Linked DNA regions of Danio rerio. The protein of the gene in region 1 interacts with the protein of each later gene in a pairwise test. Links are inferred from orthologs where the notes say so. Each region holds a gene or a part of one and is shown on either strand. Other genes may lie near its edges. The genes, in order: psmg1 and psmg2.

Evidence for each region.
Region 2: the proteins of psmg1 (region 1) and psmg2 interact in binary tests that used the Homo sapiens proteins (3 or more experiments, as listed by UniProt). The link is inferred for Danio rerio from reciprocal best matches to the Homo sapiens genes PSMG1 and PSMG2.

Annotation. Positions count from the first base shown.
Region 1 is NC_133185.1:517,240-521,620, reverse strand, and holds the start of psmg1 (proteasome assembly chaperone 1), read left to right. Parts: upstream 1-1,443; 5' UTR 1,444-1,522; coding exon 1,523-1,647; intron 1,648-2,447; coding exon 2,448-2,536; intron 2,537-3,360; coding exon 3,361-3,518; intron 3,519-3,748; coding exon 3,749-3,811; intron 3,812-4,023; coding exon 4,024-4,222; intron 4,223-4,355; coding exon 4,356-4,381. UniProt on the Homo sapiens protein: Chaperone protein which promotes assembly of the 20S proteasome as part of a heterodimer with PSMG2.
Region 2 is NC_133194.1:13,452,117-13,456,625, forward strand, and holds the start of psmg2 (proteasome assembly chaperone 2), read left to right. Parts: upstream 1-1,552; 5' UTR 1,553-2,147; intron 2,148-2,658; exon of another isoform or gene 2,659-2,741; coding exon of another isoform or gene 2,742-2,798; intron 2,799-3,186; coding exon of another isoform or gene 3,187-3,249; coding exon 3,250-3,358; intron 3,359-4,509. UniProt on the Homo sapiens protein: Chaperone protein which promotes assembly of the 20S proteasome as part of a heterodimer with PSMG1.

The DNA.
Region 1 (4,381 bases):
TATATTTGGGTGTAGAAGTTATATTGTGGACGGGAAAAATACATTCTGTGATTGTCGGAATGATGTCTGACAGAGTGTTTCGGTTGTAGTCTGATACTCTTTGAATTATTACAGTCATTGTATCAGACAATTAGTGTGCCCATTTGAGCTCATCATATTGTATTCTTTTAATATTGTATTCTATTGTTGACCGAGAGATGAGGGGAGAGCGCGAACGCAGTCCCCCACTACCAGAAATTACGCAGTACAGATTCCTGCATTTGAGAAATTGTCAGAGGTCAAACTAGCCGATTTGTGCAATGGCTAATCCTCGCCCTGGGTGAACCACCTTTCTGATCATGGTATCGCCCCTGCCAGGTAAGTATGATTCCGTTATAGTACCGGAAGGGTCTTGACCGTCAGAAACATCCTTCTTGATGGCGGTGACTCTTCACTACGCCACACGTGAACCAATGCGATCAAACCGCACAATCCCGCTGTGTGTAGATGCAAAGATTACCCCTTCATCTATATATTTATTTATGTACTTATTTATGTATTTTTTAAAACAGAATAAGGACATTTTGCAGCGAACCACTTCCCATCATGCAACGGGACAGTCGAACAGCCAATGGAAAAGCACTACTTAAAACTAGCCTTTTTCAGAAATCAATAATCAGAATTTGTAAACTCAGGTTGAAGTAAAACTCTGGACAGTTTATCTTTTGTAGCTTCATATATTATAATCTAAAACAAACTAGCGAAAACATTCAATGAACACTATGACGTAGGCAACAAGAACGTGTCATGTACATCACTTCCGTGAAATCAAAACAAAGAGCGCCGACAGAGTTCAGATTTTAACTCCATGATCCTTAAATATATATTTTAACCATTAAAAAAGAACCATTTGTACGTTCAGTTGTATCCCCAATATGTTGTATGTATTTGTAATATAATCAGTATTTTATGATGGTATTTGTGGCCGTTCCGCACTTGTTTTCCTCAACAGAACGTGTGCAGTTACACATAATAAGATTTCGAAAAATCACGAAGCTTTGTGCACCATACAGCCATATAACACATACATGATCACATCAGTGCCTCTTTTAGTGGTTTCGACACAATAGAAGTTAATAAACATACAAATAAACACCTCAGCCTCTTTACATTCAGACACCTTCACTCCCGATCCAATACAGCCTGTTCAGGTGTATGAGACAGAGGAGCATGTGTTGAGGACGTCATGTAGTGCATTTATACAAGAGAGACAAGAAATGGTAACTCAACTGATAAGTTTAAGAAATGCAGAAATAAGTTTCAAAGGTCTATTAGAATGAGCAGAAGAACAGAAAGGAGGTGTTTGATGAATTTCCTGAGGGAAAACTGAAAGGAGTCCAGAAGGGGGCAGTAATGCAACAAACAGGATGCCAGCTGCCCTTAAAACCTAACGACGAAGAAGAAGAAGAAGCATCGCGTAGTGTTGCTCATTACACCCCGCCTGTGAGTTTTATTAATAAATTAGCTTGATTATCAGTGTAATATGGCGACATTCTTCGGCGAGGTGTTATCAGTGTATTCTCGAGCTGTGGAAGAGGATGAGTATGAAGACATGACGAATGAAAACGAGGAAGATGAGCAGATCCGCCGCGAAATAGAGGAGAAGAGGTGACATGCTCATCATATTTACTGATTATCTGATCAAACCTGTGACTGCAGTCAATATCAGCACTTTATAAGAGAAACGCAGGACGCTTTCACTTTCACTTCAGCAGCGCGGGTCTGTGACTCATCACGTGTCTCTCTTCATCATCATCTTCATCATCGCTGTGTTACAGTGATCCTCTATGGCGTTTAGCGATACTTAATGTCCTGTTTCTATCACAGCAACAGCACCACATCACACAGTTAGCCGTATTTACTGACCAAAACCACACTGTGGTAAATAAACACACTCTGCACTTCAACATGCTGGATTATTCTCATTTACTGACTCAACAACACTCAAGCTCAGCTCATTCAGACAGAGGTAAAGTTGGTTTGATATTGGGATATTCAGACATTCTGCTTAATCATTTATTTTCAGAAAAGTGTTCTTTGCTAAATCTAAATTGGGAGATCAGATTAGCAGTCAAAGACTAAAGTACAGCCATGTTTACAGTCAGTTATATAGTGTTGATGTTGTTTTGAACTCATACTTGTATGCTAATTCTGATTAAATATTCATATGAGTGTGGTAAACGATATAGAGACCGTTAAATTAATGAATGTGTGAATATAAAACCAACTTTACCTCAGTGTTACAGCTCTAGTGTTCAGTTTTGTTTATGTGTGTTTGTGTGTGTGTGTGTGTGTGTGTGTGTAGATTGAGTTAATATTCAGTGTTGTGTTGTATGTATTGTGTAGTGTGTGTGTGTAGGGTGTGTGTAGATATATTGTGTTACAGGTATTGTGTTGTGTTCCTCCAGGTCAGTGGAGGTGTGCTGGCTCTTGGGCTCTCAGGATGGGCCCCTGCAGTGTTCAGATCTGATCATTGGCGCGGGGCCGAACGCCAGCGGTGAGACCTCACTCCTGTACTCTAGACACCGCAGATGTGTGTGTGTGTGTGTGTGTGTGTGTGTGTGTGTGTGTGTGTGTGTGTGTGTGTGTGTCCTTGAAAATGTATTAATTTCAATGTTCTGTTTTCAGCGGTTAAAAAAGTGCTTGGAAATAGAATTGTGTAGTTGTGTAGTAATTACTCTCCTAGTAATTTATCTTTCTTATTAGTTACCTTTTGAAAATAAAGAAAATATTTTTGTTTTTGTATGAAGTTCAACATGTGATTTTATGTTTGGGGAGATTCACAGTGAGTCACTGAATGACTGAATGACTGTGTTAAATGAAAGATTCAGTGAAAGATGACATGGCGATTCCCACTGCAGGATTTGATCTTAATTTAATGTATGATAAATAAATATAATGTAGTACTGCGATATTCAACATTTGGAAAAATTAGATTAAGATAAAACATGACATGTAAGATGTGAATAGATGACATTTAGGAGAGTAAACGACAGTATATCAGTGCCGATAGACGACTGCAGGCAAACACACCATATACATGATTAAAATACTGCACTATACTATTGAACATTACATCAAACAACAGCAGAGCATGTGTTTGGACTGTGGGGGAAACCGTAGCACCCGGAGGAAACCCACGATAACACGGGGAGAACATGCAAACTCCACACAGAAACACACACTGACCCAGCCGAGACTCGAAGCAGTGACCTTCTTGCTGTGAGGCCACAGTGATAACCACTGAGCCACCGTGTCGCCATGAATAAAGATAATGTTTTGCTGTGTGTGTGCGCGTGTGTGTGTGTGTGGTCTGTGCAGGGTTTATTCGTGCGTATCTGCTGAGCACTGTAGGATGGACGGCCGTGGCGTGGCTCTCCTTCTGGAATGAGCGGAGCCGTGGGTCTGAGCGGCCGACTGTGGTCCCAGGGCCCGGAGAGCCCTCCTGTGTGCTGTACCGGCTGGAGAGCTGTCCCACTGTGAGGAGCGCACCATCACTATACACTACAGGAGAGCTATTCTGCCACTATATACAAGCTGTACACAGTGTGTGTGTGTGTGTGTGTGTGTGTGTGTGAGCTGGAAACAGCACACGGATGATGTTCTCCAGCTTTCTGAAACTGACCCTTTCAGGCTGTGATCCTCATTGTGGTGTTTTGATGACTGTCGCTTTAAATGTAATTGTGTGTGTGTGTGTGTGTGCGCGCAGGTGCTGATCTGCCAGTGCCAGGGTTTTGTGGCAGAGGATCAGCTCTTCCAGTTTACAGAGAAGGTGAGGCCTCATACAGAGCTGTGTGTGTGTGTGTGTGTGTGTGTGTGTGTGTGTGTGTGTGTGTCTGCGAGCCCTTCCTCATTGCTGTGTGTGTGTGTGTGTGTGTGTGTGTATGTGTGTGTGTCTGCGAGCCCTTCCCCATTGCTGTGTGTATGTGTGTGTGTATGTGTGTGTGTGTGTGTGTGTGTGTGTGTGTGTGTGTGTGTGTGCAGGTCTTCTCATGTGTTCAGACGAGGGATCTGAACGTCACCATTCTCTCAGACTGCTCCTCGGCTGATTATAAGACATCAGACTACCTGAGTGGGAGCAGCACACCATTCCTGCGCTGTCTGAAGACCAGCACATACACACACACCGTCACATGTCCACCGCTGGAGCAGCCCAACATCTGCAGCGGACTGGCAGCCGCAGGTACAACACCGCTATACTGCATTATTACACTACTGTACTGCTCACTTCACCATACTGTAGTCATGCATAACGTGTGTGTGTGTGTGTGTGTGTGTGCGTGCGTGCGTGTGTGTGTGTGTGTGTGTGTGTGCAGTCCTGAGCCACTGTCAGGTTCATCAG
Region 2 (4,509 bases), on another chromosome or scaffold:
GCTGGAAGAAGTGTCTAGGGAGAGGGAAGTCTGAGGTTTTCTCCTAAGACTGCTGCCCTTGCAACACGGCCCCAGATAAGCGGATGAAAATAATAATGATGATGATTACAGAGACATGGTAATATGAGGCTGTCAATCAAATTGGTGAGTGGGGAAACTGCACTGCTACGTCACGTTGCGGTGGACCTCAAAATGAAAAGGATTTGGATCCGATTTTAACGTTAGGAAATAAAAAAAGAGACTTATTGTCTTTATATCACCCCAATATGACTGTGGACACATTAAACGCACACAAAGTTCTGTCCAAACAGCTTACAAAAGAGGATTTTCATCATAGGTGCCCTTTAAGCTTTTGGATGAACAAAACTTCTCTTATTTTATAATACTTTTTGTGCCATTATTTGTGGTCAAAAAAGCATCAATGTTTGGATGTCAAATGAACGTCAAGATTTTGACATCAAATCGATTTGCATTTTTTATGTTGTTTTTTGACATCAAGGTGGCTGCATGGTTACTGTAGTATATACACATGAACATATTCAATACTGAATCCACAGATTGGCTCCTGTTAGTATTAAAAGTGCATTCAAAGAATAAGATGTTGTAAGTGTTGGTGAAGTGTTGACGTTGTTAGTGTTTTGCCTAGTAGCTATTATATTTTACAAGTGCACTAAATACTTTATGAAAGCCTGAAACTGATGACAGAAATGATTTCTTATTGATATCTGTGAAACACCATATTTCTGAATAATCCTGGAAAAAATACACATCGCCGTATCTTTATTGCGTTTGATTACCATATTCACCCTGATTTATCTCAAGTTTACTGAAATGGAGTTTTCACACATTTGTTTTAGAATAATTATCTATAATACCTTGCTCCTGTCACCTAAGAAGTGGAAGCCGAAGTGACAATCCACACAGGCTTCCTAAATGGACAGAAGATTGGAAAAAAGTTCAGTAATTGAACTATTCAACATTAAAGCGTTAATTTTAAGTTCTGTCATCATTCATTCACCCTTCAGTTTGACCAAACCTATTTGGGTTTCTTTCTTTGGTTGAACACAATGGATTGTGAACCTCTCAACCATGGTAGTTGTTTTTTCTACAAATAAAGTCAACAGGTTACAGGTTTTCGGATTTCTTTAAAATATATTCATTAGTGTTCAGCAGACGAAAGAAAATCATTAAGGTTTTGAACTACTTGGGGTGAGTACATTTATATTTTCTTGTGTGAACAACATGTGTTTTAAAGATATTTCAAGATTGCATTAGGGCACAGAAAAAGCTCATTTGTAACTGATGAAGAGAAATGAAGAATGAGTTTACTGAATTATTAATACAACAAAGACTAAAGTATTATTTTACTTTCCATCATCCATTTTCTGTACCTGAATACTGTTTGACTCTCTGGTTTTTGCTTTGCTTTATTGTCTTTATTTGCTTTCAATTTGTTTATTTTTTATACAATGTTCACACCCCCAAAAAAAAAAATCTGAATGATTTCCTTCAAAATAGAGCTATTCAATCCATCTGGTGAAATTATATTCATATCACAATATATATTGTATAAAAACAAAATATCGCAATGTCAGATTTTTCTAATATCATGCAGCCCTACAAGGATCCATCTTGTCTTGTTAATATCAATTGTTCAGGCTGCTGGTCTTGTTTTTTATATTTTATTTTTACATTCTTGGGTCCCAACTAAGGCATAATTTAAGCCTACTTCTGTTGCTCACAAGTAATTTTTTTTTCAATTTATTACCACAGTGTTCCCATTGTTTGATAGCTTACTTACAAAGCTCAAATCATCTCAGTCTGTGTTTCTTGAACATGACAGTGATTATTTTATCCTCAAACGGCCTCCACAGTCACCAGTTTCTAATCCAATAGAGCTGCATTTGGCTGTACTGGAACGACAGATTAATATATAGATGAACAACTGACAAAGCTGCAGTAAATGAGAGAGAGAGTATCATGTCCATTTTGAGCAAAATGCTAAATTTCCAATTCCTTGTCGAATATGAAGGAAAAAAAGCGGCTCTGAACGCAAGAGGTGCAACTCTCACAAGCAAGAGGCCGGTGAGATTTTTAGCGTCTAGCGCCATCTTTTGATCATCCATGTAAACAACCGATAAACTACAGTAAGTTGTACGTTTTAAAATATAATTTTAGTATAGCTGTATTATTTAGACTAATGATATCGAGTTGAAAATAAAATCAAAAGTAAAGTCTTTCACATCAGATTCACTTATTGAAACAATGTTTACATTAATTTATCAATTTACATTTAACAATTATATATATATATATATATATATATATATATATATATATATATATATATATATATATCAACACTATCATCGCAATTAATATAATCAAAGAGCATAGACGTTTTGTTATAATTAGTTTAAAGACTTTTATTTTGACATGTTAAAATGTTTTTTTTTATCGCAAAGATTATTATAACGGCAAAATTAAGATATATTAACGTCAGATCAAGAGTAAGATATCTTTAAATGTGCCCTTTTTTCTTCCAAAAAATATTTAACTTACACGTCGCAAATAATTCCTTTAGGTTTTTTTTTACTCAGGCATCAGGGCGTCCTGAGAGAATGACGCAGTATTGTTAGGTCCTTTTTTCACAGCGCAGGAAATTGAAAGTAAAAATCAGTACTGGTCCACTTAAACTCGTACACATTTCACTGCGAAATCAGTTATAAACAGTTTTTAAAATGTTCATTTCATCGGGGGATGCCGTTCCTTCTTTTAAAGGCTTTACTTTGATACTGGTAAGTATTTGAGCTTCATCATCATGACACATGCGGGTTTCTGTAAGCTGCAGTTATCAAACACTGAGCATTTAGGTACAGTTGGTTTTATACTCGCACAACAGTTCTGTGACAACTTGTGACACGGTCCTGGTATTGTTTACCATGCTACTTTCAAAATTTGGTCAGGAATGCATGCACGTATGACTTTAAAACAACAACAGCACTGTTTGATTAACAATGTTTAATAGTATTTGGCTACTAACGTTATTAATATGATTTCCCTATTTATATTTTGCAAAAAAAAAAAAAAAAACTTTTCTGAAAATATAATGCTAAGGAAAAAGTCTCAATGTGAGACCCCAATACACGGAGCTCCATATGACAGTTATTCCTCATATTCTCACAGCCTGCAGTATCTGTTGGAAATGTGGGCCAGCTCGCCGTGGATCTGCTCATCTCAACGCTAAATATGCCCAGAGTGGGATATTTCCACACAGACTGTCTCATTCCTATGGCTGGAAACAACCCATACGCTTCATCCACTGAAGATGCTGCTCAGCTCAGCACCAGCGCAGAAGGTAATGGATGGCTATTAGACCTTTACAGTACACATGAAATCAAAACTAACCATATTGATTTTGTTAGCTCACACTGCTAGTTTTGTGGTGAACAATACATCTGCGCATGTCATTAAGAAAAAATGTTTGCCCTTAGCTTTAATTAAAAGCTAAAAAAATGCCCTTCCTGTTTGCTTCCAGTTAAATTCTCAGATTACATCTGTCTGAGGTATTGGGTGGGGCTAACATGCTTAACCACGCCCCTCCAACTGTCAGTTTTGACCATACTATGACAACAAACAGAAAAGTTGATTTGGCTGAGTATTACAGGGTGTTCACGGAGTCTTAAAAAGTATTAAAAGTTGATAAATCAATGTAGAGAAATTTAAGGCACTTAAAAAGTCTTAAATGCTTTTAGGTATTAAATTTGATTGAATTTTTGATTATGCGATGTGTGGTTGTATGCTAAAGTTTGCCTGAAGTAAATCTGCAAATATCAGGATGCTGTTTAGTTTATTAAATCAATTAAATCTTGCTAGATTTGACGTCACTCTGCTTTGTTTACTGCAGTAACCAAGACAACACCGTTATTTCTGCAGTTCTTTAGGTGCCAACCTGCTAAATCACTAGATTTAATAGATTTTTATTCAGGATATGAATAATGTTTTAGTCTGGATTAGTTTCTTACATTAATATTTAGGATACATTAATATTTCGTTTATATAATGTAAGTTAAAATCTCGCTAGTGTTTCCGGTTAAAACCTATAATGATAAAAATGTTATAAAATATATGGAAAGTCTTAAAAAGGTCTTAAAAGCCATTGAATTTCAATCCCTGATTCCTGTATATACTCTGTTTTAGGTTATAATATCTCTCCGGAAACTTTTTTCTCAATCATTCTATATGAAATGCCTACTTTACTACATCCATTCAGATCGCAGTATAAAAAAACAAGCCACGCCTACTGTTTTCTCATTTACTATTTTATTTCTCTAGGAGCTGTGTCATAATACAAAAAAAAAATGTTCGTAGCTTCCAGTTCTTGCAAACTTTTAAGTGAAAATTCTGCTGCCGATTACTCATCTTCCTGTTGTTCCAAAACTGTTTGAGATTCTTTCTTCTGATGAACACAAAAGATGTTTTGAAAAATGATGAAATCCGGTAACCAAT